Linked DNA regions of Lepisosteus oculatus. The protein of the gene in region 1 interacts with the protein of each later gene in a biochemical or structural test. Links are inferred from orthologs where the notes say so. Each region holds a gene or a part of one and is shown on either strand. Other genes may lie near its edges. The genes, in order: lamina-associated polypeptide 2, isoforms beta/gamma; lmnb1.

What was found.
Region 2: the proteins of lamina-associated polypeptide 2, isoforms beta/gamma (region 1) and lmnb1 form a complex in vitro, tested with the Homo sapiens proteins (2 studies listed by BioGRID). The link is inferred for Lepisosteus oculatus from reciprocal best matches to the Homo sapiens genes TMPO and LMNB1.

What each region holds. Positions count from the first base shown.
Region 1 is NC_090702.1:48,992,786-49,008,579, reverse strand, and holds the start of lamina-associated polypeptide 2, isoforms beta/gamma, read right to left. Parts: upstream 8,006-15,794; 5' UTR 7,512-8,005; coding exon 7,269-7,511; intron 1-7,268. UniProt on the Homo sapiens protein: May help direct the assembly of the nuclear lamina and thereby help maintain the structural organization of the nuclear envelope. Possible receptor for attachment of lamin filaments to the inner nuclear membrane.
Region 2 is NC_090698.1:51,385,246-51,400,991, reverse strand, and holds the start of lmnb1 (lamin-B1), read left to right. Parts: upstream 1-7,487; 5' UTR 7,488-7,829; coding exon 7,830-8,194; intron 8,195-15,367; coding exon 15,368-15,524; intron 15,525-15,746. Other genes in the region: protein JTB-like, read left to right, coding at 24-88, 2,184-2,221, 2,353-2,438, 2,904-2,983, 3,697-3,853. UniProt on the Homo sapiens protein: Lamins are intermediate filament proteins that assemble into a filamentous meshwork, and which constitute the major components of the nuclear lamina, a fibrous layer on the nucleoplasmic side of the inner nuclear membrane.

The DNA.
Region 1 (15,794 bases):
AGGAGGGGGGCACCCTGCGCCCGGCTTCATCAGAACTTTACACAGGCGTCACCTTGGAGAACAGAAACAGAACAGAAAACAAATGCCAACCAACGAGCCAACCACTCCCCTGCGGAGAAAAACGCAGACCCATTGCTTCCTCATTCTCGGGGATCACAGTGTTGGATCGAGGCTGCTTCACAAGTCCCAACGCAGGACCGGAGAGAGAGCCTGTGAGGACAGCACGCGTCGCCACCTGCTGCTGCAGCAGCTGCCTGGCAGCTTGGTGGCGAGGTCAGTTTCTGGATCAGGCCTCTTCGGGCATGTCTTGCAAAGCCCATTCGCTTCTTCCAGCTGATCCAGAGCCTTCCCAGCTACTCCATGTTACCGGGAGAACGGACAGGGGGTCAGCAGAGGTCACAAGAACAATCTGGACTCATCTGCCGTCCCTAATTTAATAAAGAAACCTAAAAAGCACCTCTACAATCTGGCCTAATGCTCTTGAGACTTGTTGCTGTTTGTGTCCTGCAACACTACTGACAGCCTTTACAAGACTGGAGTTGACCACCATCAGAAATGTGAGCAGAAATGAACAAAGGGGACCCCCCCCCCCCCTCCCCAAGATTCCTCAGGGTGCCCCAAAGTGACTGAATTGGCACCTGACTTTTCCGGCCTTCCCGCGTGCTGCTCCTCTTCAAAGAGCTCCACCGAGTCCAATTCAGATTCGGCATAAGTGCATGTCTGCTGTCACAGCTTTAGGTGACTGAGACGTGTCTCTAAGATTTCAGATCAAGTCTGTGACACTGGGAAGGGTGAACACTTCTAACTTTAAAACAGAGAGGATGTCTGCTGAGGTCTGGGGGGTCCCTTGAGCAGAAACAATGGTAAAGTTACCTCAGTATGCCTAGGGCAGTTGTGGATTCATGATTGGAAAAGAGCAGGACAGAAACAGACCCTATAAGATGACATGGAGGAAAAAAAAGAAGGGAGGAGGAAGAAGGAAGAAACAAGGAGAGCAGGGAGAGGAGAGAGGAGTCCAGAGGAGTTGGGACTTGAAGCTTGTGCCAGGCGAGAGCTCCTACTTCTTCATCATCCAAACCAAACCTGACTGGAGCTGAGTACTCAAACCTTGTTGGAGAGAGCGTGCTTTTTTTGTGTTTTCAGGGACCTTACGTTTCCAGAGTAAACGATACCTCAGTTAGATATGTCTTTCCAGCTTAGGGTGCATTTTTATGGATAAGGATACAGGCTCCCATTTATTTTGTGGCATCCGAGAAGCAGAGAGGGAGATTTAACTGCAGGTTGCTTTGTATATAAGGCAGCTTCTCTTTTATGTGGCCTCTGTAGGCATTAAGAGTTTAGTGCTTAGTAGCAGTCTGGGGTTTTCTAGCTGACCAGAAGGTTAGACCTCTGAAAGTGAATTCTCGGGTATATGGTTAGAAATCAAGTACAAGTTGGGGGGTTTTGAATAATTATTTCACTTCTAGACTAAACCACTCTGTCAATTCCTGATTTTCACCAGTTTCGTAGCCCCCCATTTGTAACTATTCAGCCAACACTTTCTATCCACGGCAAATTGGATTCCATTTACACAGCTGGGCATTTTACTGGAATAATTCAGCTGACTCCTCTGAGGTTTGAACCCACAACCCTGCAGTCCCAGGTCCAGAACCCTGAGCACTGCTCCACACCGCAGCCCTGACACCCACACACGGAGAGCACTAACTAACCCCGTCACCTTCCCCAGCCCTGGGAACACCGGCCAAGCGACTCGGAGGGACCTGGAAACACCCGGAATCGTCTACCCCGACACCTGCTCCGCTGAGGGGCAAGGCAAGTGCTGCTAATTGTTTTGCTCTCAATACCTCCGGATACCCGACATTTCAGATGCGCAAAATGAAAACGGAACCGATCCAAACAGAGGCGGACCACCACAGGTCTCAGCCGCGGGGATTTTCGAGTCACGGAGGGCTGAGGCCCTGCGCTTGCATCTGGCTGACTGCAGACACGAGGCACACTCCTCCCCCTGGAAAGCGATTTCCTCAAGAGACAGGCCAAGCCCACTAGCAAAACAACCGCTCTCAGAGCAGGGGGGAGAATGTGAAAAGGCTCTTGTTACAGGCCAGAGACAGCACACTGTGCATCTTCCTAACCTGATCCACTGCAGGAATTTAGTTCCTGAAAAAGACCCAATTGTTTCACAAGTCTGTGGCATGTTTCATTCTAACCACACAATTTAGGACCCAGAAACAACCGAACGGAAGAGAGAGGCAAAGTGTGCTCTATTGGGGAAAGAGTCTTTTTTAAAAAAAGCCCTATTTCTTTACAATTAGTTATCAACTGAACAGGACAGCAGTGACATAATCGTTCCCTCCAGATCACTTACGAGGTGCATCAGGCTTGACGTTCAATGGCCTGAACCTGGATGCATGCGAGTGCTTTTCTGAGATACTAAGACTTTTCAATAGTTAACAGCATCTCTTAAAGGCTTCCCTGAGAAGCTCTGCCCTTGAAGGAGTGCAGCTTGAGCTCCATAATTCAGACATTGTGGGTTCACGTCTGGTTCAAGTGACTGGCTGACTTTAATCGGAATTCCCCAGCTAGTGCACAGCTGGCCTGGAGCCACTGAAGGGCACAGTGGGATTAGCTGAGCAGGTATCTTCTTGGCTCTCCGAGGCACAGTGTCCCCTGTGGCCTCCTGGGTTCCTGCAGCCATGCCTGGTTCTCAATGAGGGATTCACCTCCCATCCAATCAGTACTGACCCCCTGGTACTGTGTGGTGTTACCTTTGATGAATGTGCCTACCCTCCAATCAGAACAATCCTTCGGAAAAGGGCTGGGGAGCCTGTGATGGATGTGCTTACCCTCCAATCAAAGCTCATTCTTTGGTAAAGGGCGGGGCAGCCCATGATGGATATTCTTACCCTCCTATCAAAGCCCATCCTTCATTAAAGGGCGGGGCAGCCTGTGATGGATGTGCATACCCTCCAATCAAACCTTATCCTTCAGAAGAGGGCGGGGCAGCCCCATGATGGTCGTGCCTTTCCTCCAATCAGAGCTGATCCCTCAGTAAAAGACAGTGCTTTATATAATGAATAAATTTTCAATCACAGCTGATCCCCCAGTACAAGGCTGTGCTGCCTGTGATGTGATAGGAGATGAGTGCCTGGAGGCTGGGAGGAGTCTTGAATGCCAAGTTGTGAAAAGTACAACAGGCTATTCCAAATCAGATGTGTAAAAAAAACAAGACAAAAAGTTAAACAGCATCTTAAGCGATGCACTAGACTGGGTACAGCATAAATCAACTTAGGCAAGACGGCAAATCCCAAGACACAAGTTCATTTACATGATCAAATAAAGCACAATAAACTTTAGCCTGCCTTACATAACTAACAGTTAAACTGGAGCACAATTTGTCTAATGGTGCTAAAAAAACAGCTTTGCGAAGAAATCTAAACAACCAAGCTAAGAATAAAATCTTCCAGGCACTGGAAATGAGGTGTTTAACCCACTAATCCACATGAAAAGCAGAATTCCAACACTTTGTCAACATTGTTCTGTTCCAAACCTGGGTCTTCTGATGTCTAAAGTAACAAAGTGTATCGGAAGATTCAGGTAGTGAAACTGTGCAGACTGCACACCTCTCCTGCAAACTGCAGCTTCCACATTGTGTCAACAGGCATGCTGCAAATAAGAAACAGGCCTCAAATGATGCACTAACATCTCAATTTATAACCATCTTGCAAAGTATAATCTGCACAAGAACCACGGTAATTATACCTCACCATAAGAATGACAGTCCTACATGAGGCCCTGGAAACTATATTTGAAAGGAATATACCCTTTACATTCTGGTAAACTGGATTTTGACTGGAGGGGAACTGACGGATATTTGTTTGGAATCCTTACATCAGCAGGGAAGAAAGCTATAACAAGCAAGCTATAACATTTTCACTGAAATTACAAGTGGAAAAAAAAGGTCAAATACTGGTCTAGATGGGTTCAGTACATTAAACCTTCAAGGTTGGATTTTGTTGAGATACAAAATAACTGGTCTCCTCCCTTTTCATATTCAGAAATGTATACATCTTCCTTCTTTTGAATGTATATAGTTTGGTTTAAAAGTTAATTAAATAATCGTAAAATACTAGGGGAACAAATAGGAACAGACAATTGTTTGCCTGAGATGTAAGGCTGAATAATGGTGGTTTATATGTAAAATGGTTTTGTTTTGTTCTCTAAAATATATCTTTTTAAAAAAATAATAACAGTCCTGGAATACATCCAGTGGTGTGGTTCAGTAACAGCGTGTGTGAAACATAACTCCACACAGAAACGAGTGGAGACCTGTGATATAGCGGACACACGGGGAGAATACAGGGTCACTTACTCAATCCGAGACTGAACTCGTCACAGCACACCTACATCTGACGGCAGAAGACAGACGTCAGTCAGGACATGAGAACTGCTCGGACAGAGCACGGACTGTGCTCTGCCGGAGGCAAACACGTCAGGGCAAATGTTACTCGGAAAGTTGCCGCCAATAGCTCATTCAGCATCTTTCCCCCCCACGACCACCTTAAGTGAAGATGGCCACGGCGTCCACTCCACTCGGGAGTGACTGTGTGCCGTGGGAGGGAGTCCCGACGTCCAACCCGCAGTTTCTTCGTGAAGCCCCGGTAGGGGGCGGCGTCACCTGGGCTTGACACTGACGTCAGCGCCGAGACACCCCCAGCGACGGGCCTCGGGTCCAGATTTCCGTCTCACTGACGCACTAATTGCTTACGTGCTAATGGGCCGTTAGGTCCACTCATCCGTCTCAGCGTGACGAGCTCTGTAACGCCCGTTTCTCGTCCCGGACTCAACAAAAGGATTCGCGCAGTCGGCCGCTCTCTCGGCTGGGTCCAAAACAGCAAAGCATCGAGTTGATCGCTCTTAAATGACAACCTTTTAGAGCTGTGGAATTCTTTTTAAACAAAATCAAATCAAAATCAAAGTTTATTGATCAAATGCACAACAATACAGCGCGCAGCGGTAGTTGATGGCAATGAAATGTCTTTTCTGCGAGCTCACAAAATACGAGAATCACAAAAAAATGTTTAAAAAAAATCACAAAATCAAGGTTAAAAGCACAGCAACCCGCCTCAGCACAAACCGCACTTTTACCGGGGTAAAACACAACTCCGCTAAAGTTCAACTCCAGTTCGCCGCCCTGCTGCCACACGGACACCTGTCCTCCTGTGCTTTCTGTAGGGTTTTTTTTCTTTACTCCTTATTAATTTTTTTTTGTTATTGTTATTTTGCTGTTTTTCTTGTTTCTCTTGGTTCTTGTTTACGTATGCCCTTTTGAAAGTGTTGTAGCATGTCTATTTTATTAAACTCCACAGTACTATTTGCGACACGGATCCTATTTTGTGGCGTTACCCGCTACACAGTTTTTGTGACGCTCACACCTGAAGAGGGTGTTTTCTTTCTTCTCTTTCCAGCACGGAATAAACCTATGACTTGTATTTTTGTGATGCGCTATAAATGTTACATGCTGTGGTGTGTTATATTGTACATGCGCAATAGATTGATGTACAATGTTTTTCTTATTTATTGTAATAGAATAATGTGCAATGTTTTCTTTTCTTCTTTTTTTTGTTTGCATTCTATTTAAATGTATAGGAGCGCTGCGTGTCCATAAAACAAAATTCCCTCAGGGGACAATAAAATCTAATCACTTATCTTAAATCTTTCTTTTGCGGCAAGAATAGTTAACAAAAAGTAGTCAAATCCCCCCACCCATCCACCAGGTGACATGAAGACCGAACCCACCCCGTGTGGACCCCCACACCCCAAGACAACCCGCAGGACGCTATCGGGGAGCAAATGTACAAAATCTTGAACCGCAGAATGTGGCTCTGGGGTCAGATATTTTTATTATTCAGATATCCAAGAGTTATTTACCGTGATTTACCGAACTCCGCACAAGAGACATTTTCCCTATCAAGTTTTATAAAACGATATACCCGCTACGCAGTTTTTTTTTGTATGCAGCGCCTTAACTTCGATTTAAATAATGGAGATGATCCGCTACAGTTGAATATTCAGAGAACATATTTTTTTAAGTTTCGGTACTTGTCGATGCGCGCCTTCCGTTTCTTACTGCTTAAGCTAAAATGATTTGATCATTTCACGTATTTGTCCGTGATTTTGCCCAGACGGTTGATCCGGATGTGCAATCGCTCCTCGACTCCGTGCAGAGCCCGTTCTTGCTCTATTGTTTATTTCCCTTCAGCGTGACCGGGCTGCCCGCGTCGGATTCAAAACACAGAAGCGCCGTCCGGCCACGCTACGAAATATTTCAACCCGTTTGCGATCTCCGTCTCGGAAACCGCTCAGACAAAAACGCACGACGTTTTCGAAGCAGGTTGAACACCGGCGAGGTATATGATTTCGGCGCGTCTCGGCGCAGCCGAAAATGAATTATTAATGGCGAAAGGCAGTTCCCACACAATAGCGAGGGGCTCTCGGCTCCGAAGGCGGTCCGAGTGTTTAAGCGGGAAAGTGAGAGACGGAGGCGATTCTCAGGGACAGCATCGCTCACACTCGCAGGACAGGTGAATGAAGCTCGCACTTCCCCCCAAAATTCACACGGGCACTCCGGCACCTGTCCATTTCCCACTCCAATCGCTTTCAATCGCCTTCATGCACCGCATTGTGGTCTCTCCCCCCCCCCAAGATCAACGTTATCTGTAGAAGACCTACTTCGGTCTGGGCTAAGACCAAAAAAAAAAGGTTCTTCAAAGAGAAATAAATGTAAACAGCGGAGAAAACATGCAGACCTCTATACCATATTGTAACGCATGCCTGGCTGGCGGTGGTGGTCCTGCACAGGCCAGAGCTAACTTTTGACAGGAGGCACCACCGAAGAGCACAAGCGACAATTCACAACAATCCGCGCTTGAACGAGCGACCCCGGCACAAGCCGACACAATCTTGACCCGCTGTAGTTGGTTAAAACAAAACAAAGAAATACCAGAAATAAATACCCGGTCCTCTCTTATTATTTTTTTTTTTAAATGGGACAAATAAGTGCTAAAACAACGCGGTCACCGGTTAATAAAATCAGGAGAGTCGATACAAGCTTGCCTGCCCCGGCTACAGTTGCACGCTTTTTTTTTCAAACTGGCGTTTCATTGAGCTAGCGGGTCCCGCAGCAGGGAAACACAATGTAACCAAGAGCTGCAGGCACGCCGGCGCTTCAAGCAGCCGCCGCCGGCGGCCGGGACAAAGTGCAGACTTACCCTCCCGGAGCGGTTCCTGTTGCTGACCGGGGGCGCAGCCGGCAGCTCCTCGTCGCTGGAGAAAGCCTCCGGGGCACCCCGGTTCCTCCTCGCCTTGTTCTGCGCGGTGAGGTGCTGCAAGTACAGCTGGACGTAGACGTCCTTCTTCTGCTCGCCGCTCGGGAGAGGCACGCTGTTCGCCAGCAGCTCGCTCTTCAGCTTATCCTTGGTCAGCACCGAGGGGTCCTCCAGGAACTCCGACATGTCTGCTGGTGGTGGTGGTGGTGGTGTTGGTGGTGGTGACCCGACACGGGGAATCGGCGCCTGTCGCTACGACGCGCAGAAAATTGAACTGGACGGGGAGAAAAAAAAACGTGCAGCGGGCGCCTCTTGTTGGAGTAAGACAGTAACGCCAACGACAGTCGATATCCTTCGCGAGAACCGCTATCCTTTTCTTCCACCCCTCCCCTTCCTCTCCTTCTTGCGCTTCAGACCTGCTCCCCGGGTTTCTGCGGCTGCGGCGATGCGCGAAAGCAGTGTAGTTCCAGCTCCCTTGTTTAAGTGTGTGTGTGTGTAAAAACACGCCACCCTAGCGAGCGCAGACAAACAACCCGGCCCCACTACGAAGCCAGAGCAGCGAGAAAAGAGGGGGGGGGGGCGGCTTTCGCCTCACTGCCCAGTAAAGCCGAGCGCCATTGGGCGGCGTAGCTGTAGAAAGGACCTCGCCATTGGCTTCAAGTTGGAGCGCAGAAGCTGAGGGCTAGGGGCTCCTGGAGCCGGGGTCTGGGTCTGTACGCGCCAGGAGCGAGCAGGACTGAGGGCTGAACTGTGCTGCGGCGAGGAACAAGCCCTGGAAAGATGATGATGATGATGGGATTATAATTACGCGCTTGTAGGAAAACAGAAATCGCCTGGAAGTGCATCAGTTTGCTCGTTAGTGTAGAATAGCCGGGTGTTGTACCGTTGCGTTGCAATGTAGCAGCAATGAATCGGGTGATTTCTGCACCACTTCAGTATTTTCTTATCCGAATGTCAAACGCGTCTTCACGGCAACGAACCAGACCGATTAAGAAGCGTTTCGGAAGCCGGACAATCTCGACCAGTAATGTGGCGTTGAAATAAGTACTAAGTACAACGCTTGCACTACTACTGGTGTCACTATAGTCCAGGGGCACGTAACGCACTGTGTTATGGGTTGTATACAGTACAGTATGTGAGGACAAGCCTCCTGTGAAAGAACTGGGCCATTCTTGGGGAACGGGACTCGTTTACAAAGTGCATCAAGACCCCTGGGCTCCACCACGAGGCCACGATACCGCAGCTTTCTCTCTTTTCGGGGGGGGGAGGGGAGTGTGAAAAGCGGGGTTCTGGCGGACACCCCGAGAATGAGGTTCACACAAAGCGTCAGTCCCTGCAGGTGCAGGAAATCTCGCCCCTCTCCTCTGCATTCCATACCAGAGTCTAGGAGTCCTTATACAGAACTCACACAAGGGAGGAAGGGGATGTTCTTGTGCAAAACTCTTTAAGTAGAATATTGTCTTTTAATATTGCCTTTATTGAACCAAGTGAATTTAGTTGTATTTTTTTGGCCTGTCTTCATTTATATATATGATATTATATGCCATTAAACTGTGGGTATATAATGCTGTAGTGTTTTTGTTGCTTTTTTTCCATCTTTCTTTGTGATGGGAAAATAAAGTTCTTGAAGTGGAGACTCTCCATGCAGCTGGCCCTCATCACCTCCTGATACCAGAGAGACTCCGGACTGTCACCCGCCCCTTGTCCTGATGTCCTGCACCCAAAAACGATCCTCCTCTTTTGGTTGGGAACTTTGGACGTATTGTCCTGCACTTTGGACAGACTGTGGACTAATCATTTTTTTTTCACGTTCCATGTAGCTGAAAGTGGGGTTCCCAGCCCTGATCCTGGAGGGTCGCTGTGTCGCCAGGTTTTCATTCCAGCTCCACTCTTAGTGAATTAAACCAGCTGGATGCCGGCTTGACGGGAGCCATTTCTCAGCTTCTCCCAGCTCTTCAGGTGCTGCTGCTTTAAAGAGACCTGGAAAACCTGTCACACTGAACCTCCAGGACCAGGACTGGACAGCCCTGCTGTAGACACACTGACCCCTCCTGGACCAGGACTGGACAGCCCTGCTGTGGACACACTGGCCCCTCCAGGACCAGGACTGGACGGCCCCGCTGTAGACACACTGACCCCTCCAGGACCGGGACTGGACAGCCCTGCCGTAGACACAGCGCCCCCTCCTGAACCAGGACTGGACGGCCCTGCTGAAGACACGCTGACCCCTCCAGGACTGGGACTGGACGGCCCTGCTGAAGACACACTGACCCCTCCAGGACCAGGACTGGACGGCCCTGCCGTAGACACAGCGCCCCCTCCAGGACCAGGACTGGACTGCCCTGCCGTAGACACACTGACCCCTCCTGGACCGGGACTGGACAGCCCTGCTTGCTTATGTGGTCGAAACGCAATTACCCTTGTTTTTACCCAACTGCTGATATAAGGGTGGTCTGTAGATCTCGCTGGACCGTGGCCCTGCAGGACCAGAGCTGGCCACCCCTGGCCTGCGGTAACCAGATGGAGATCAGGAATGAAGGTGAAGGAATTCTCCTCCTGGAGGTCAGGAGGGAGGCGGGCGGAGAGAGAGGTTCTCCTGGGGACATGGTACTGCAAGTCCCTACCCTCTGGCACCCCTGCTGAGGTGTTCCTTATGGCTGGGCTCGAGTCTGCGCACGTACAGAGACCGGAGGCTGATGACTCAGAGACAGACTGTTGTGTGACAGTGTTGCTGTCGGTTATTTGTGCAGTTGTATTTCCCTATGCGTGTTCCCCTCTTTTTGAGTCTTTCTTGTCTGTGCTTTTGTCTTGTCTTGTGTCTGATACCCCGACAGGGAATTAATTTCTGTGGTGAGGTGTTCAGTACCTCTCCCTGTTGTATGCTGTAGGTTAGAGTCACAGCACAGCCAGGCACAGTGGCGTAGGAAGACATGATTGCTGTTAAGCTATTTCTTTGCACATTATGCACATGGTCAAGTATATTTAAGTGGTCTACTGGTGAGTACTTATCAATGCTATACTAAAATTGAGTAAGGTAGCTCAGACATGTAGCGACAATATAGTGGATTCAAATTTTATCGTGTGATAAGTCTAAATCTGAAACGTTTGTGTCTAAACAATACAGTTGGTGAAAGCTGCAATGCAGTCTCCTAGAACTGGATTATTATAATTCTACGGCCAAGCGTGAAAACCAAGGAAACGTTTGACCAAGGTAAAATACAAGAATATACAGCCCCATGAACTTGCCCGTGACACTCGTGTTCTGGAAAGGATTATGCTTTCAGCAGGATAGAAATACACAACTGTATAAATGAAATAGTAAATACAGTTTTATGGGCACCTTCCAACCAAAACCAAGTAAAGGTCTTCTAAAACCAAATCATCCGAACATTCCCGCCAAACAATTCACATGCCCACTGTTGACAAACAACAGTGTAGACGCAGAGCCTTTCCCTTTCCCCCGGGAGAACGGTGATGGAGACAGAGGGACCGGTTTGTAAACCGGAGGAAATCGGCTCACCCGTCGTTGGATCAAGCAGCAATTTCCCTGGGAGCCCCCCTGAATCGTTTTGTTCCAAACACACTGTAATCATAATCGTAATCCTAGTTTAATACCTCACTTTTATACTCCGTGTGCGTAGTTTTAAGTTTCGTTCTTGTCACCTTGTCTTACTAAAGTTTAATTGTTTATTTTTAAAGGAGGGTGGTGGTGGTGGGGGAGTTCAATTGAATGCTATATTAGTTCAATATATTGAAATAATATAATTATTTGATCGACCAAACGTCGTGGTAATGATTTGCGGTCGGGACACGTCTATCCAGCAGTAGCTGCTCTGGAGTGACGCTCTCTAGCTGGGTATCTCTGTGAACAACCAACAACAATTCCTGGGCCATCTTCTGCTCTTGCTGGGTCTCTCCTGCCTGTCATTTCCAGATTGTCTGGAAAACCTAGTTCGTTTTTTTTTTGTGGCTCCTTCTCTATCTTTCTCCATCTCAGGATACAGCTTTGACCCTATAAGACGGCGAATATAGATAGAGGTGCACTTCCTACTGCACTGTGACAAATATTCTGGGAGGAGAGAAACATTCTTCCCCAAATTTACAAAACTAATCCCAAAGTTCCCACACCTGCCAGAATCACAACAAGTACCAATCCTCCTGGGAGAGGGAGGAGGGAACTCTGTTGAACTGGCAGCCAAGTATGTGATCTCCTGTCCCAGCCTGAGGAGCAGTGAGCCTCTCCCAATAATGCTCCATATGTAAATATCGTATGATCGTGTCTTTATTGTAAATGCCTGCAGATTTTTTTTCATGTTGTATTTGTTTTGCTTGGGGAGCACTGGTTTGACTCATTGGACATGCCAATAAAGCCTCGTGAATTGAATTGAAAAGGTGCAGCGCTCTGCCTGGAACACGAGTGGCGTATCTGACAAATGATGAATCGGGTTCCGGGGAGAATGGGTGTTAAATGTGGGGCTAAAAGGAGGAGTGACCCCGACGTGATTCGAACACGCAGCCTTCTGATCTGGAGTCAGACGCGCTACCGTTGCGCCACGAGGTCCTGCTGGACAGCTCTTTTCCAAAGTCTTTACGTGCCAGAAGACTGTTTGCCGACCGCTGGCGTGAGGACTGGGGGGGGTAATTTGTCGTATCAGGACGAGCATCAGTTTAGTCGACATTCCTGACATAGTAGCAGGTGCAGGCAATTAGCCAACCTCGGCACCTTTATGGTCTCTCCCCCTTTCCCACTTTTTTAAATAATAATAATAATAATAAACGCCCGGCGCTTTGAGACGCGTTTAAACCACGGCGTGTACTGATCGTCGCTGTTGGGACTGACACCAGTTCAAAACCCCACAGTGGAGTTGGGGGGGGCCATCGTGAAAATACAAAAAAAAGTACGCCGACAGGCTAGCGCGCCGTTTCTGTGATCGCAACCGACCAACCCTGAGGCGGTGAAGATGGCTTCCCCGCCGGGTGGCCGAACGGTAGACTGGCGCCCTCTTGTGGCAGCAAGTGCCAACGCGCCTCCTCTCCCGAGCAAGGGAAGAGCGCGGAGCGGGCCAGCATGGGGAAACAGCACATGACGGAAGCCGATCCCCGAGTTCCCAGCCAGAGACATTTAAATCAACACTCTGAAATGATTTTAGGGTTATATTTATACGCATTACACGGCTGTTTCATATGAAAAGACGACGCATCGCGTATAAGGGACCCGAGCACGGCGCTGTCCCCCAGCCCGTCCTCGTTAGTATAGTGGTGAGTATCCCCGCCTGTCACGCGGGAGACCGGGGTTCGATTCCCCGACGGGGAGGCTGAGATTTTTAACATTTTCAATCCCTACGAAGGTGTAGTGGACATTTCTGGAAGCAAGCAAAAACAAAAAAAACAGGGGGAAGGCGGGGACATTATTGAACGGAAAATGTTAACGTTTTCACGCCAATGGAGTCCATCAACCCAGGCACATTATAACGTGGCCAACTGTGACACGGGTCCCAGCCTTCTCTCTGGAGGTACACGTTGAGGGTTAAGACGCCTGTCGACACAAGGAACAAGTAAAGGTCTTATTCCGCGCTGAAAAGAGGAGAAAAGAAACGTCCTTTCAGCTGTGGAGCCTTCTTCGGGTGCCCACTCGAATAACATACTACATACGCTGATAAAATCATTTGAACTTACAGAAGACGTTTAGCAACGCGCGTATTCATAATTATAGTAATTAAGACGTACACCGGTTTATATATATTTTTTTATATTTAGTTATTTCGTTTTTAGTTCGAAATTGTATTCTTCTGTTTATATTAATTCCACGGCCATCATCCAAAAACAGAAAACGCCACTATGTGACATGACATCCGGCAGGGAAAAAAAAAAAGGTCCTACCCCGCCAAAACCAACATTACAATAATCGGGCATAAATCTGAGTTTAGCCCCCGAAAAAATTTCAGCCTCCCCGTCGGGGAATCGAACCCCGGTCTCCCGCGTGACAGGCGGGGATACTTACCACTATACTAACGAGGAAGAGCTGGTAAGACCGCCCATTTTGGGCTTTTTCAGTAATTGCAAAACGTGACAAATTGAAAAATTAGGAGATGGCCAAATATATATACATATACATGCATATATGTCAAACCTAGACCCCCCATAGAGACTGATACATTTATACTTACAGCTGGTTCAGATCCTAAAAGTCTCTTATAATGACCTACTCCTGTTCGTTCACAACATATAACATGTCTCCTCTTTTCACAAATAAAACATTTCTCGGGTCAGCTAGTTTTTCTAGTATTCACCGAGAAACTTTCTGGAATCCCAGTGCGTGTTTTTTTAAAGGGAAAAAAAAGACGACAGAATATGTCCTGACTCTAATTTCATGTGTAATCTGTCTCGTCTGATTTCTCGCCTTATTCTCGGTACAGTAGTTTCACCTCGCCCGAGTCGCTGCTAAATAATACCGCCGAAAAGCGAGCAATTTCTGTAAACACCATCTCTAACAAAGCCTTAGTAAAATGCAAGCAAATGTACAACATATATTTATGAAAAAATGTGGTAAGTTATACAATTACTTTTAAAAAAGAAAATAAAGAAAGCTCTGCTCAAAAGATGTGCTGCAAACACAAACTAATGAGCTTTTAAGCATGCATTATTCCCTAAGAGCTCGTCTATCCCGATGTCGATGGCTTCTGTTCATATACAATCGATATGTTATGATGGACTTTACCAATACTGTACATAAATAATGTTGGACGTCCTGGTGTAATTCTGTTTAAGAATGCATGGTATATTGAGACTTTTTTTAAAAATTGAAGTCCAACAGGTCAAATATTAGGAGAGCTATCCGATATTCAGATCGCTAACCGATATACCTGATCTCGGCGGGGTGCGTGTCAAACTCACGCAAGAATCAGTCATCTTCGACGCTGCGGATCCAACCGAAGTCGCTGCTTCGGCAGAAGTGAAGCCGCCAGAACAGGCACCTTCCGGCTTTTCACCACCAGAGGGCAGTGCAGTACCACCGCAGCGTCGCCCCTTCCTGCCCGACCCAAATGCTCTCGCGTTCCTGTGTTGGGCGACCGACGGCGTTGGCTTGTACGTCCCGTCATAGTTCAGGAAGCACAATGCACGTCAGCAGAATTAAAGATGACGGAAGGGCAGAACGTGGGACAGGCAGACATATATGTCCGTGTAGCACAGGCTCACTAAATGTGAGGACGACATGTACGGCATTTTTTTTTTCATCGTTATGAAAAAATGCAAAACCGGGAGCAGGAACGCGGTGATGCTGAATACTCATCACAAGAGACAGCTTGCAGAGACGATAGAAAGGACTTTAGCTTCGGAGCCTTGATGGCTGTCTGTAAAGATCTCCTTCAGCCTGTACAGGTGGGCTCTTCTGTGCATATGGCACCCGGCAGGTACGTTTTGGCCCCGGGATATATAGTATGGACGTGTGTGTGAGTGTGTGAGAGAGAGCTTCCTAGCCACTGGAACAATGCAATATCCTGGCGTGGAAACAAATGCTCTCCTTCTTCTTCCAAATACCACAAATACTTCATTATCCCCTCTAATAATCGCGATAAAAGCAGTCCCTCAGGCAATCAGAGCCATCAAAGGGGCTTGGAGGAGGTGGTTTTCCCACAGAGGCAGTCTTTCCTGAAGACTCGGAGGGCCCAGGGCAGCTCGGCCTTCTCTGCACAGCAAACCTGTTGTCCAGTGCTGCACATGACAGACCACAGCACTACTGAGGACAGGTCGGGGGGTCACCATCATTTCCTGTATGTGAGTATTTCAGCCTCAGCCCTAATCCGAAGTGTCCTGGTGATGGCAGATTGTACTGCACAGCCTCCCTGTGGCTCCTGTACCATCAGACAAGTGCACAATGCGCAGAGGTGCAGAACTACACCCACAATCTGTTCTTACGCTATGAATTGTATAGTATCAACGGTTTCTAGTAACCAATGAGAATGCACTTCACAACACATTCGACCTTGTCAGTGCAAACTCCACACATAGATCCATTACCATTTTAGCTTTTCTTAAAATAGACCGTGTCGTCAAAATTCTGAGATTTGAGTTAGAAATCCACTTGAGGTCTTTACTGTTACCTTTACCTCAGGTCATGTCAATAACGTTTTAAGCAGATAATAATAAATAAATATGCTCTTTCAGACTCGGAGACTGGCCCTTAGCTTGACCTGTAACTCTGAACTCCCTCCCTCTCTTCTGAGCTCCTGCCAGCTGAACTATTCCTGGACTGGCGTCTGTGCCAGTGAACACTTTGTACTGCCTCAGGTCGAGAGATGGGAGAGCCCTGGCACTCAATTGCTCTCCATCGCCTTGCTGTATTTTGCAACCACTTGTAACCTAAGGCTATGTGTTAGTTTGAATACGCTCCTGTACAGTCCTGGGGATCCAGTCTGCCTCCTCCTGCAGGGCTGGTGATCAGGGATCCAGACTGCATTCTCCTGCAGG
Region 2 (15,746 bases), on another chromosome or scaffold:
AAAAACTAAACAGGCACACAAGGATGTACTTCAGCTGCTTCTGTGCTTTGTCTTCTTTATGGATGAGTTGGAGTTTAATAATCATTAGGTAAGCAGAAAGGTTTTAAGATTGCTTAACTGTTTGATTTATTTGTTTATTTGTTTTCAAGTGTGTGTATGTCTACCAGTATGTTACTTTCAGTGGGATGTTTTACACAGGCTCTCCTGATTAACATTCTATAAACATGATGTGGCTTCTGTGATGATAAAGTACTTTTTTTTACCAGTGATGTGTGCATGCAAAAATGGTATTTCAGTTCTGTCCCTGATTTATGAGTTTGACCTTTATGGGTTTTTTTTATAATCGGATCATTATGTAATTGGATATCGGGTTTGGTTACCATTGAACTGTTGTCCAGATCATTCACCCATTTTCTAATTGCTTCATCCAATACGGGGTTGTAGGGGAGCTGGAACCTATCCCAGCAAGCAGTGGGTGCAAGGCCCGGGTACACCCTGTACAGGAATCCAGTCCACCTCAGGGCTCACACAGAAAGACACAAACACACTCATACAAGGGCCAGTTTTCACCGAAGCCAATTAACCTATCAGCACAGTATGTACTGTACTATGTGTTGGGGCTGAGGGAGGAAACTAGAGTACCCAGAGGAAACCCATACGAACACACAGATAACAGATAACAGCTCGTGAATTGAACCCGGGGTCACGGCACTGCAAAGCAAGGATGCCAGCCACTGTGCTACCATGCTGCCCTTCTCCAAATCAATTCTATTTCATTTTCACTGCTGATTGGTTTAAGGAACAACTACTGTACATTATGAAACTACTGAACTTTATGAAACAGTGGTTTCTGGCTACTTGAAAGAGGCTCCATGCTGCTTTCTTGTTAAGACTGAAAACCGCGTGTATATTTCATTAACATCCTTCATTGCTGGTATGAGAAGCCTTCAGAACAGACTGGAGGAGAAAACAGTAATGCTTTGCATCACAATAAAGATCAATTTCCCCGAAACAAATGGTAAAATAAATCTTATAGAGAAAATGTGCTTAGAAATGTCTTATTTAAATAAAATATTACAAAGAAAAGGCATTTTGTTGAAATGGTATGAACAATGGAAAGCACAGTAGTTAGCATTGCTAACTCTCAGCACTAGCGCCATAGCTTCAGTTCTGGACCTGTGATGCTATCTGTGTGAAGTTTGTATGTTCTCTCCATATTTGCATGGGTTTCCTCTGGGTGCTCTGGTTTCTGCCTTGCACTCGCCGTTTGCCGGAATAGTCACCGTGATCCTGAATTGGAAGAAGCGGTTAGAAAATGGATGGATGGGTATGAATAATATCATCGAAACCACGAAAAGCCCCTAAATTAATGCCGAAATAATTTGTTTAGAAGGGAAATTTAGCATTTAGGTTTCTACAGTCAACAATGAACAAAAAAAGCCTTATTAAAAATGATTTCTTTTACTTTGTAAATTTATGGTGTAGCCGAATCTAAAATCTGTGTTTCGCATAACAAACATTTTATACTGTTTTCAGCTATACTATAGTTATGTTACAGTCCAGTGAATTATAGTTTTAGTTTTAACACTTACACATTTGTACCAGCAGGGGGAATCATTTACTTAGGGAAATGGGGTTTATTCTTATCTCTTGCTAACTTATTTTGGGGTAATATATTTAGTATATCGTATATTTTGACACCTGAAGAAGGCTCCACGGCTGAAACGTTGTGTTCTCTTTCTTCTTTTTTTCAGCATGGAATAAACCTATTACTTGTTCCTTTGCAGCCTACGCATGCTGACGCAGCTACCCACCTGAAATATTTAGTATATGGTTTGTCTTGTTTATGCCATCACTTTTTGTATAAACAAGTAATATTAAACCATCTTCTAGAGGGCTTCAGTCCTTCTGCTCTTCATTCCAGTTCTTGTTCTCAGTTATCTGAATTGGTCAACTGGACAAGGATAATATCGAATGATAGAATAAAGTAAATTATTAACTCTAAAACTTTTTATTTCTTGATAGAAGCATTCAATTTTGTCCAGTCAACTAATAATGTGATCAATTATTTTAGAGCAATTAAGCTTGGAATAAAATTGTAGGTCACTTTGTAGTCAGCTAGACTCCACTGATAGAATTTTCTAGGCTGTAAAAATAATCCTATATAATTTTATATTTTATAGATCCTGTGATGGAGCACCATTAACACAGAATGAAATGTGTAAGTATTTGCATTATGATTTGGTCAAATGAAACCTCATGAATAGTGAACATTTAAAAGAAAACCACTAAATATGAGCTGAATGCACAATTCACATATTTTAAATGTGTCTCTAATTCATTTTTTTTCAGCTAGCAGTGCACAGCCACTTCATTGTTGGGAGACAGAAGAATTTACAGTGCTGCGCACATGCTTTCTGTGCAGAGATTATCAGATGGTAAATCAATCCATATGTTCATGTCTGTGCCCAGATGTGGATGAATGAAAGGCAGAATGTGAAAAGGAAGTGTTTATAATTAGAGAATAATAAGGTCTTGTATGGTTTTCCTTCCCAGGGATGAAGCAGTAAAGGTAACACTTCATTGGATATAAAGGAAAACATTTCAGAATAAGAATCAAGCTTATTAGAATGATGCTTTATTTGCTCCTCTTGGTCTTCTTCTGATACTACTTACTATTGTTAGTATCAGAGTTCATTCCATTGAGCATAGTATTGTCTTTGATTTATTATAAGAAGTGTGTTAAAAAGTGCTTCCTTTTATAGAATTACTTGAGATCACACAATATTCTTAAAAAGACACCAAAATCAAATGGAGCTGTAGGATGTTCAAGAGATCATTGTACAGTGTGTGGATATATGAATTAATTTGACTGACTTGCTCGCCTTTGCTGTTTTGTACAGAAAACTGAAGCACAGTGTACTTTTTCTGGCTTTGTAGAAGAACTGAAGTGCAACACCTCAGGCCTCATTGAACATAGAAGGTAAGAACATTAGGAGGGTTACAAATGAAATGAGGCCATTTGGCCCATTTAGCCCAATTGGTAGTAGAGGCAAGGATCTCAATTAGTTGCAAGAGGCCAGGGTATTGACCTCTACAACATCAGTAGGTATAGTAGCTTATTCTATACTTGAATAGCCCTTAAGACAAGTATTGTTTGATATTTTTGCATATTTTCACATTAACAATCTTATGACAATTTGTATGGCTGTATTACATCATTCTTGAAATATGGCCTTTCATCTTCTTTTTGTTGTGGCTTATTAACCCAAGGAGATTATTTCAAAATCGTTCATTACAGCTTGTGTTAGAATTAATTTATGTATATCTACTGTAAATGATTAATTTTTCCAGTCTTTTCAAAATGGTTTATTATATTGTGTTGTTTTATTAAAACTACAAAATATCGTACTGTAAAATGGCCACATTTAATTTTACATCAACCATCATCATTTTTTCCCCATTGGTTTGGATCCTCAGCCAGCTGTGGACAAACCTTTTAAATTCCTTTAGTTGTGATGTTGAATTGGACAATGTCCTTCATGGCTTTCTGACACTGTTCTGCTGTAAGACTGCGCTATTTGTAAAAACATCTGCTGTACGCAGCAGAGGAGATTTTAGAGATGTAAAGGCTGTCATTAACTGCGCAATAATAACAGATTTGCTAGCTGAAAAAGTGATTTATTTGCATTTTAGTTGTCGCTCTGCCGCCGCAGAGGAGCTGAAGTTCTGGAAGTTCGAAGGTGCTATGCTGACGTTCAGCACCCTGTTTGCCGTCCTTGTGATGTTCCGCCAGCGCACACTGGACAGACGGGCTGAATATAAAGTACAACAGCAGATCCAAGGAATATAAGCAAGCTGTGGATGTTCCGGTCCTGGATGGTTCTTTCCTAATTAAATTGTTATTTGTTCGTCTCTGTGTTTCCACCCAAATGTGAATTTTTTGGTTTATGTTAAACCTACTAGATGAAGGTTTCAGACAAAAGGTAGTTCCAGCTCCCATCGTTTTTCTTATTACAGTGCTGTAAAGATATTTTTTTTTCAAATGCGATATGCTGCAGATTAATAATAGAGGTGTAAAAACTACTTATCTTTACTGTTGTATTCCTGTTTCTTAAAAGACAAAACAGAGCTGTTTTAAGTTTGTGTTTTATTGTGAAAGTCTTCAATATTAGGTTACTGAAGTGGGTGATTTAATTTTATATAGCATTCTTGCCTGGCCAGGGGTATACCATAACAAAAAATGTGGTTTATTCAATAGAGAAAGATAGTTTTCCCTGTTTAGAACTGCTAAAAGGAGACAGCTTTGTCCTGCTTAGTCTTCTTGATTGAGAAGGCTTGTTTTGCATTAGTCGATGCTTTGGAGTTATAAATAAATTCTCTTTCTCTATTGAGAAACATTTCATGATAATTTAAATTGCCTGCAGATAACATTTAGGATATGTGGTTTTGAATGAAAGCAATATTTTATCTAGCTGAATAGCTAAATTACTACCTCAGACAACATTTTCAAAAAGTGTGTTGCACAGAGTGTTTCTATGAAAAGAGAATTCTGCCTTGCACAGTCAAGAGTTAGAACAGAAACACTTTCCAGATCAAGAGATATAGTTTTAATAAGCTTGTAATTCTTAATCATAGAGTTTTTATTGAGAATCTGAAATAAAGTAAAGTTTGCGAAACAATTTTGGACTCATTTCAAATGAAAACTAGTTAATTTGGGAATACATATTACAGTATATACATATGAATAGATTTATATTAAAATAATTAGGACACAAAGTGTGAGTTAAAATATTTGTATAAAGATTTAGATAGTTCACAACATTATTTAAAGGTATAAAACCATTAGCAAAAGTTGTCACTTTAGTTATGAATTACACATGACAGCTTTTCAACAGATCAATTACTCTCTGGTGGTGAGATTATAAATATTTTAAATACTCAAAGAAGGTATGATTTAAGATATGGATTATTTCTTCTCACCACCTCCCAGAATTTCACATTTAAACTACACAATATAGACTTGTTTTAAAGTTGTGTAAAAGATATAATTGTATTTGTTAATACTGCTGAATTCCCATTCATTATCAGAGGATTCTGAGATCATGGTATGAAAATGTGACAGCTAAAGGCACAGCAGAGACATTTCATATTTCCTGAATTGTTAGTGGGATTATCAAGTGGGATTTTTTTTAAAAAGTGAGTATGAACAAAAATGTACTTTTGATTCCATGGAGCCAAAGCTAAGAGGAGACAAATGACAAATGAGGAGGCCTCCCACTCCTGTCCCTAAGTTGAGCTCATGAAAGTAGCCCTAGTATTGTTAAAAAATTATAAATATTGCAGTTCCCAAACTAGTTATCAAGTGGGCCCAATAAATCATATTTTTATTATTTAAAAAGATGATCTATTAAACTATTCAGGTGTTGTGTTGGGAGAGGTGTGGAAGGTTAAAAATGAAATGATTTTCCTCAGAATTGATTCTTATGCCATCTGGAGCAAATTCAGAATAAAGGGCTTTGAGCTGACTGGCATGAAGACACTCAGTCCCTCTGAACCCTTTAAAGCACAGTTGTAGGAAGGGTAGCTAACCTTTGCCCATTTCAAACACAATTTTTCTGTGTCACCATTTTTCCAAAGTAGCTAATAAAATTTAATAAAATTGTAAAGAGCCCTATACTTTTGTTATGTAAAGAACAAAGCTTTGGTGATAATTTTCACACTGGATAATATTCAAGTGCATTCAATTTCAATAAAAAGAATGCATATCTCAAACAGTTTTTGCTATTTATAAGGATTACATTTGTTAAATGCAACAATTTTTACAGCAGTGTTGAAAATAATTGTACATACAGTACCGTTTAGAAATGAAGCAAAAGGTTACCTAAGTTTGGGCCACTTTTTATCTCTGTTACTGGTTGATGGCTATCCTATAGAAGCAAGAAAAAATGTTAGAAAAGTCTAGCACCTATATCTCTTCTTCACATTTCTATCAAGAAAGCAAATCATTACAGTTCATAGAATTTACAGTACTTCATATCCATTGTTTGCTTTAGCAACTTTTGAACGAAGATTCCAACTTTTTGTGTGAAAAAAAACAATGAAAAAATTCTGTAAAAAATGATAGATTTAAATCTAAATTATATCCAACGATTAACAATTACCAGGGTGTTTGTTTCATAAATTAGTATAAAGTAATGCATGCCTCCAGACCTCTTCTGAAATTTATGGGAACTGATTCAAGGTATATTCCTAGGAATATTAAATATGTATAGAATGTAAATTCAGTACTATAAATATGGATGCTTAAAATATTTGGAAGAAAACTGGTTATTAAATTAAAATTTCTAAAAAACATCCTTGCATTATACATGCAACTACAGTATGGCACTACAATCAAGTCTTGTTAATTAAGGCAATCAAAAACAGAAACCACAAAACCTTATAATATTGAGCATCAAAAACTTAAAAAAGCATCGCAACAGCTCATCGTGCTGATCAACATTTGTTATCCAAAGAGGTCTATAAACTTTTGGAGGCAATAAAAGCTGTAGAGCTGCGACTCGGGCTTTGTAAAACTTTCAGATTGCGTTGTTTGCGGGATTCTGACTCATTCCTCACATAGAGTCTATGTTACTTATAGTAGATCTCCAAACTTTAGATGCCACACATCGTGAGAATAAATCCGACAACTTTTCAAAATGGCTCAAGTCAAATAGCATCCACTGCACTGCTGTCGCATTTCTATCGCGCAAGAAAGCCGTTACAGGACCAGCGTTAGTACAAGTGTTGTCCTATTCAATACCTTCCCGAGTCGGCAGGGAAGCGCAGCAGAAGATACAGTATTTCAGGACTTAGTAAATGTAGCTCTGTACACTCTGGTTTAATAGTGAAGATTTGTAGAGACTACATACTCCTGTGAAGGCAATTTAAACCTCTCCGTCTGGTCTGCGGCAATAAACGAATCGTTCTACATTTGCACCTTACTTACATGTCCACCAATGTAAACTACCCACATAATCTTGGTTACACTACCGGCGATTTCCATCCAAAGATGCAGACGAACAATAGGCGTTGTCCTGTGAAATAACTGGTCAATCGTTTTATTTTGTGTTTTGCTTTCGTGTAGTCACTTTTTCACCGGTGCCCGATTACGTCTCTTACTAACGAAGTGGTTCAGCGGTTAGACAATCAATCGAGTCTATCACAGTCAATCAAGAATTATCAAAGTCATCAAAATGACGCCAGAAACATGTAGTCATTATACACCATCTGTATATATTATTTTCTAAAACCTGAAAGAAAAGTTTATTTTGATAGTCAACATACATTACAAATTGCTGCTAAACTGCACACGTGCGTTTAGGATTTATTTTGAATTTTGTCTCAAACTCGCAATTTGAAAGGACGGCTTTCGTTACTTTATATCATTGGTTTCATACAGTCACGTTGCTGTTAGATGCTAATGAGCGGCCATATTAGTCAAACCCTTTCTTTCATTCGGTTGGGAGACAAAGTGAAGGGAGGCGGTTTGTAGGGTTTTTTTTGGTCAATTCCTAGCTTGCTTTTCCCTTTTTGCTTTGCTTGCGCTTTTTTTCTTTTTTATTGGCTTCATTATACCCCTTTTGTATTTATAATATTTTTTTAAAGAAGGGAATCACGATAAATATATGATTTCTGCTCCTTGATTTTATAAATAGCTTGGCTTTGTGGGAAAATCTACATATTGGTTTTTTTTTTGTACTTTTAGGGATTTTGTCCTGCATAGGTTTTTTTTCGGCCTGCTTTGTTTCGCAATTTGGTCTCCTACATTTGCTTCTTTTGTTACAATGGCGACAGCAACTTCAACCCCGGCTGGGCAAAGAATAAGCACTCGTTCCAGCGCTGCTAGCACCCCGTTGAGCCCCACAAGGATAACCAGGTTGCGGGAGAAAGAAGAACTGAGAAACCTGAACGACCGTCTGGCCATTTATATCGAAAAGGTGCGGAGTCTGGAATCGGAAAACAGCGTTCTTCAGCTGCAAATTTCCGAGAAAGAAGAGGTGCGGAGCCGGGAGATCACTGGCTTGAAGTCTCTGTACGAAACCGAGCTAGCAGACACCAGGAAATCTCTGGATGACACAGCCAGGGAAAGAGCCAGGCTGCAGATTGAGCTGGGCAAGATCAAAACGGAGCATGAACAGCTACTCCAGAAGTAAGTTTGCTTTTGGCGTTATATGGACAATTAGGCTTTTCTAAATCTGAATTGGAGGTAAAATCCCATGAAATCGTATCATGTTTTATATATAACCTTGTGCATATTGACATTGTATACAAGTTAAAATATTTTACACACACTTTATAAGATTTGTGAGGGTCGTATTTAATTGTAAACGAACCAATGTGTTTGTAGTAAGCAATGCGGTAGAAATTATAAATAAAAAAAAATATTAGTCAAACGACATTAACTACACAGGGTTTAAGAACAACGACAGAAAATTAATATATTTTAGACATTCTTCTGGAAGTCGCTTTTCATTGATTGCCTCAGAGGGGCGTGTTTGGTCACTTCTGTTGAGTGTCATGGGGAAGTTTATTAAGTTGCATTGCAGAACTGTGGGTCGCTTTGTGTCCTTTTCTTCTGTCAGTTTTCCTAGTGCCACACCTTTCCGATTTGGTGGGGGAGGGGTATGTACCTCTCGACAAAGCTGTTTATTGAAATCCCCAAGTCCACATGACCTTTTTTTGCAGCAAGTCGGCCAAAGATGATTGTTTTGGTCGCCAGTCCTGCTCGACTAACTCAAATAATGTCCCGAGATTTTTTTTAACGGCCTGTTTACGTTGATTGCTCCGGAAGCATCCGCTCCCATACGCAGCTCAGTGACCGGGAATGAATGGGTCTTCTGCCATGCTGGTAGACCGAATGATAGTACGCTACAATACTACTACTATTGGCCATATGTGGAAAAGGGGAGGGGTTGTGTTCTGCAACACAGGGACGCATTCTTGAGTTGAATAATGTTCGGATCCTTAATTTATTTTTTTTAAATCAAAGAGGACACAGTCGTCACCCAAGGGGCGAGCGCTTTTTTGTTATTTTGAAAGTAGGATCAATTTGCTCAAGGTCAAATTTCGGACCCGTCGATGAACAGTGCATTTTTTTAGGGTGTTCGGGTCATCGTGCCTTTCTTTTCCAGCTTCCTGTTAGGCGTAGGCGTCTGAAATATGCCTGGAATAATGCCTGTTCTCATCCTGTAGGGAAACGAAATTCTCCCTTTTAAGGGGAGCTGGATAATTGCACTAGCTGATTTTTATTATTCTAGACTGGAATGTTGTTACCTTAATGTTTTTTTTCTCTAGCCAGTGTGTACTTGTCAAGTAAAAGAGACTAATGTTAATCAAGTTGTACTTGTCATCTCACTTTGAAGGTCTAGTAAAGATGGCCGCGACCCCCCTCTTGCTGCGTAAGCTTGAATTCTTCACAAATATTCGCTTTTGAAACAGGCTTTAATAGAGCATAATTAGAGGTCTACGCGGCTCATCTATCTGGGTTGATCCTTAACGAATTAAACACACGCAGCAAGTTAGATTCGTAGGTTATTCCACACTTCCACAGTCCTTTGTGTAAAAACCTTTTCTCTGTTCAACTTGCTGCTGTAATAGACTCGTTGGTTATAATTAGAGATTTAACATACCCGTTTAATAAATGTAGTGTCTCTTGTCTGCTTCTTAAGCAATTTTCAAGGAATGCTTTTTTAAAAATTTGGTCTATACCAAAGCAGTTTGAAAAAAGAACTTAAGTCATGTACACAAAAGCATATTGTTTATTATGTTCATTTAATCTTGATTGGAATGGGTTATGAAATTATAACTTGCATTGTTTTTTTTTAAAAGCCTCCACATACCCGATAAACTCGATGCTTAAATTAGCAACTGAAACTCTCAAACACCTTAAAATCAATTCTTGTAAATTAAACTGCAGCGAAAAGATACGATGGTGTGAAATATGGACTTTCAACCTTCAAATACTCAATGTTTGCGGGCCTGGCTTTAATTAGGACATTGTAACTTTGCCAGGACTATTGTGTATATTTGATGGCATTTGAAAAGTCAATTTTTGCTATTGAATCCCTATGATAAAGCAGGAACTGCAATCAACATGTCGTCTGTCGTGGCAGTAGAAACCAAAGTACAAGGAGCGATACACAAAGGTTTTAATAGTTTAGAGGACAATAAGATTTGGTTAATATTTGATTGACAGCAGCACAGATTTGCACTACATCCGCATCTGTTCAAAGATTAATTGGAACAGTTGCAATCGTATATTTCTGCACTTGGTGTTTAACAGGTGGTTTCATACATCAATTGAAGCTGTTAAAGTTGTTTGTTATTCTTCAGAAAGTCTGAAGTTCAGAAAGAATTCACTTATAGTTTCTTTTGAGTCTGACTTGTCTTCCTGTGGCTCGTAAAGCCTGCAGGAAGCCCAACTTTAAAATGCTTGGTTTTTAACAGTCCAATCCTTGTTCCTTGAGAGGAAAATGTTTTCAAAACTTAATGGAAGTTTTATGAATTTTGTAAACTGATTGATTTCTTAATGGACATTAAATAGTACTTGTAAAAGCCATAACTATTTGCAAACACTTATTCTAGTGCGAACCGTCAGTTATTTGGGAAATTGCAGGGGCTAAGCTCAACACCTTAAGGTACTTGCATTATTCTAATACTGTAGATAAACCCTGGGTGTTACAAAGTTGAGCCAGATCAAGTACAGTACATTTACCCCCCTTATTAATTTTCCTTTTCTGAGCAAGTTAACCATAGCCATTTGGTCATGGACACTTGCTTTTTAAAGAATTGTTTAACTGTGAACTGTTTATTTTAATTAAAATACAAAATACAGGAAACTGAAAGCTATCTGATTTTGTGCAGTTACAAAAAGTATAACACAATTGGCAAGACTATTTGAATGAGGTGATGAATATTAATGGTAACATTGATATAAGAACAGTTGCTGTCAAAATCTGTGTATGTCTTACAAATGTTCATTCACAATGGCCGATTAATAGATTTAAACAAGAATCCTTCATATGGGTTGGTCTTTTGCTACAAGTGTTAATTCTTCCTCTTCAATGGTTTTCCTTTTTAGTGCAGATCACTTGAGTGACACAGCAGCTGGAAGACTGGTTTTGCACAGTTACTCTTCAGTTGTGCCAGTTGTTCCCTTCTAGCTTTTAAACCATAAATTACAAAGCCCTTTTGTCTTGGCTGCCATATACTCTTTTTCAAGAGACCTGTAATTGATATTAATTCTTATTCTACATGCACATTCCTGGGACGCTTTCAATGTAAACATAGAAGTACATGTACTTATGGTTATAGGTGTGCTGTATTGTTTGAATGTAGTGATCCACTAAGGACAGTGGAGATTCTAGTGACTTCATGTATGAGAGTACTAGATAAGATTTAAGAACTCCTTCCATACACTCATTTTCTAACTGCTTTAACTAATAGTGTTGTGAGGGAGTTGGAGCCTAGCCGGGCAAGCAAAGTGTGCAAGGCAGGATACACCTTGGATGGGACACCAGTCATCACCGAATACATATAAACAGATGCACACATTTTTCAGTATGTTCTAAGATCTAGTTATATTGAGCTTCAAGTGTTCAATTAAAGGTTTGTGAATGAAATAAGGTTGCACAGTTCTAAAGTTCACAGCTATGATTGTTGTAGAAAACCAAAGCCAGCCAAAGGAAATTTGGACTGTGGATAAAATTGGCCGTCTTTTTTTTTTTTTTGAGTCTCCTGGTTCAATTGCTGAATACAACACATCAAGGGAGGGGCCTTTTCTGTTTTAAGTACAGTTTTTCTTTGGGGCGTGTAAAATGTTTGAAATTCCAGTAGGGTTTAGGTCATTGCAGTTGCACAATGTTCTTCCCTGCATGTACAGTATTCATTGCTTTGTAGCATTTTTGCTTGTTTTTTTCCCCCTTATTTGCTCAGAAGTTTGTTTTTGATCATTTTATTACACTAAATACTAAGAATTGTAATTCCTTAGAAGAAAAATCTGTTAACCTTAATTTTGCGGCAAGTTTGATTACAAAACTAGCAGTATTGGGCATCTCGGAATATGTCATCGGCACCAGCAGCATACCGAGACGTTTTTTTTGGGGACTGTTAATGTTATACAGAAATCTCTCATAGGTCCGTAAATTTTATAAATAAACCTATTTCAAAATCACGATGTGAAAGTTGCCTATAATGTCCTCTGTAATTGCCTGTTGTCTTTGTCCTGACACATTACACTGACCCCTGTACTCACACAGGCAAGATGGCTGCTCTTGCCAGTTCACATGTTTGCCATTCATTCTCCTTTGACCTACTACACACTCTGTCCCTCACTGTCTTCCACACAAATCTGCAGGTGCTCTAGGAAATCACTGGTACCAGAACTGAGGAGAGCGTGGGTCCTTTAACACTAGCAGTGTTAAGCCAATTACTTTCCTGCTCATGGGTAGTGACATGATTTGAGATTTAAACTCAGTGTCTGGATCTTAGAGCTCAGCTTGTTCGTAGCGAGTGTATTTACTAGTTAAGCCTCTGGTTTTTATTTTTTAAAGTGATTATGTACTGTGGGACTAGTTTGTCTTTATTTGCATTCTCTTTTATTTTTGGAGCCCTACAGTTGACACCCTTTGTCACACACCTTTTGTGTTTGATTTTTCATTGGAAGATGTAAACCTGAGGTGAATATGTTGTCCTGCAAAGCCCCCTGGTTTTAAATTAAGTCTGATGCTTAATACATCCCATTCTTTTCAATATCTCCCATTCATCTGTTTTTTAGGTATGTGAACTCTTAAGTGTTTAAATTTTTTTTTTAAGGTAACTATCAGGTTGCAAGGGCACTCACTGTAACTGGAAACTGTTGTGCTGTCTTTTTGGCCCAGCTTTTCACAACATCCTTGAGAGGTTTTCTCTAGTCTCTTCACTTAATCCCTGCAACAGCTACATGGGCACAGGCTTTCTTCAGTACTACATCAGGTGTGTGGAGCTAAGCTGAGAATGTGGAGCTGTTTCTGCTACATTCTCTCCTTCTCTACCAAACCATAAGATAGACGTCTGAGGCCCCACATCCTGGGTATACAACAAATAAGATTTCTCCATTTATGGATCAAATTCTGAGACAATTATGATTTGTACAAATCAAGATACAATAATGGTTTTCAAGTAACTTTTAAAGTATCCAATGACTGGTGGATGTAAATGGAAAAGAAACCTTATTAAACATAGCCACCTTATTTTGTAGCACGTGTGTTGCCATCCTATTGAGTAGATGATCTTGGTAAATGTTATGCATATTATCAATATTGGTAATCAACAGATGGTCTGTTGTGAAAGTGATGTTTTGGGATTCTGCCCCGTTAGTGTCGTAAAGGCTAATCAGGGATCTACCTATTTAATGGTCTGTAAACACTGGGACCTGCACATTTATTCCCCCAAAGCAGGCTCAAGTCCATTGTGTGGGGCATCCATGACATAACTGTCACATTCTCATCTTGCAAGGTAGCAGTTAATGAGCTGCATTAGAGTGTGCATTGTCCTGTGGGAAAGTTGTCATGTCAGGAGGATTCTACAGGAATAGTAGCAAATGAGGTCCTGGGACTAGACGCTCCTATCCAACCATCACACTTGGATCTCCCCATCAATCTTGGCAACGTTTTCTGACTCATGGTCTGTCATTGACTGACTGTCATTTTCCCCAGGTTAAGAATTGGTAACTCGGAACACTGTAGATAGTAAGTATCAGTGCACTTATTTAGTCGAGCTCTCGTCATAGCAATGGTATACCAAAGGCATGATGTCTTCAGCTTTTTTAACTGGGTAAGTAGCCTCAACACCCATGCCCAGTCAACACTAACATGAAGTGATTAAAGGTCTGAAGGTTAGTCACTCACTTGAGTGTATCATGGTCATTACTGAAAGATAACTTAAAGTGATTTCAAAAACCTTTAATATCCAAACTCTGTAAACCTTTTCTACAAATGCATAAGTAATTCTTTATTTGGTGTGGATTACAAGTCCAGTATCATGATCATATTTTCTTTGCCATGTGAGATCACATAGGTATTGTTTAATGATGTTATGCCTGTTCATATTGCAGTTATTTGAGCTTTTGCTTTGGTTCTGTTTTTATAAAATTTACTTTTGTCTACAAATTATACTTTGACAGGGCTTAAATTAATGATAGGATTAATTCGCTGTTAAAAGTTCAAAAGTGCTGTGGTTTAGTGTTAAGGTTGTTTTTGTTCCATGTTCATACAGTAGATGGAGCTCTTTGTACTGTGCCATTTAGAATCTTCTTTGTGGCTGACCTTGGACACTGAACACTAGATCATTGTCTAGGTGCCAAACGGCTAAAAAAAAAGCTGTTAAATTGAGCCTTTTTAGGTCACTTCTTACCAAATGCCTTAACACTTTTTTTTTGTGCTAAATTGATTTCCTCTCGTTACTGTTCACCTACATTGAAACGAGCATTGTTTAGAAAAGGGATTCCTGGAATGGATGCATCCTTGTATTGCAGTTTAAGTGTAGTTAACAGGCCATAATAAAAACATATGGCAATTTTTAAAGAGGAGTGTTACTGTGTGATGACTTTCCCATGCTAATGTTCCATTTGACTACTTGTTTTGTGACTTAGGTACACTATATACCTTCCAAAGTAATTACTTAATAAACTGTTCGCTTGGACACCTCCCTTTCTTTGTTCAACTTCAGAGTTTTAAAGCATGTTATGAATATTTCAACATGATATGACCATTTAAGACATTTTATGTTCTATAATCTCTGTGGTTCAGATGAAACAGGTTTACAGGTTTGTCTTAGATTGCCATCATTTATTTTTTATTATACCTTCCACAGTTGTTAAACTGTATTCCAGTGCTGTGGTATAATTAGGATAAGTACAGTTGAATTTTGTCAATGGGTTCTTACTAATGTATGATTCTAATTTTGATTGTATTTTTAATTGTATAATTCTAATTTAAACAGCAGGAGAATCCTACTCAGTTTGGCCCCTGAGAAAGGCCCTTAACCCCTACTGCTCCAGGGGAGCCGTATAAATGGCTGACCCTGCGCTCTGACCCCAGGCTTCTCTCTCCCCGTCTGTGTGCCTGTGTGTCTCATGCAGAGCAAGCTGGGGTATGCGAGAAGACAAATTCCTAATGCAAGAAATTGTATATGGCTAATAAAGTGATCTTATCTTATCTTGACATCCAAGTTAACAAAAGAAGTGTTAACTAATGTTTGAAACTTTTTCATTTTTGATTTTTCAAATGTGCTTTTCCTTTGGGTAGATTGGAGCAGGTCAGCAGCATTTTGGTTTTTTTTACAGCTATGCAAAGAAAGAAGCTGACCTTATTGGAACTCAAGCCAAGCTGAAGGAACTAGAAGCGGCTTTTAACACCAAGGAGGCAGTGCTGGCCACTGCTCTGTTAGACAAGAAATCCCTAGAGGCAACCTTGGCTGACTTGCAGGACCAGATTTCGGAGGTAGGTTTGCAGGAGACCTAGTAGGAGAGGACTTACATGTGCTGTTTGAAACCGTTTCAGGATAAAGGCATTGCTCTTTATTTCTTGCAGGCTATAGCAAAAGATTAATTAAGACGGGCTTTGCATTGAGGTTAAATGACAGAAGACTTGTTGAATAAAAAATGATTATAATATTATATACTAATTGATTCAATGGTGAATGCCATTCCACTGGCCATGTTG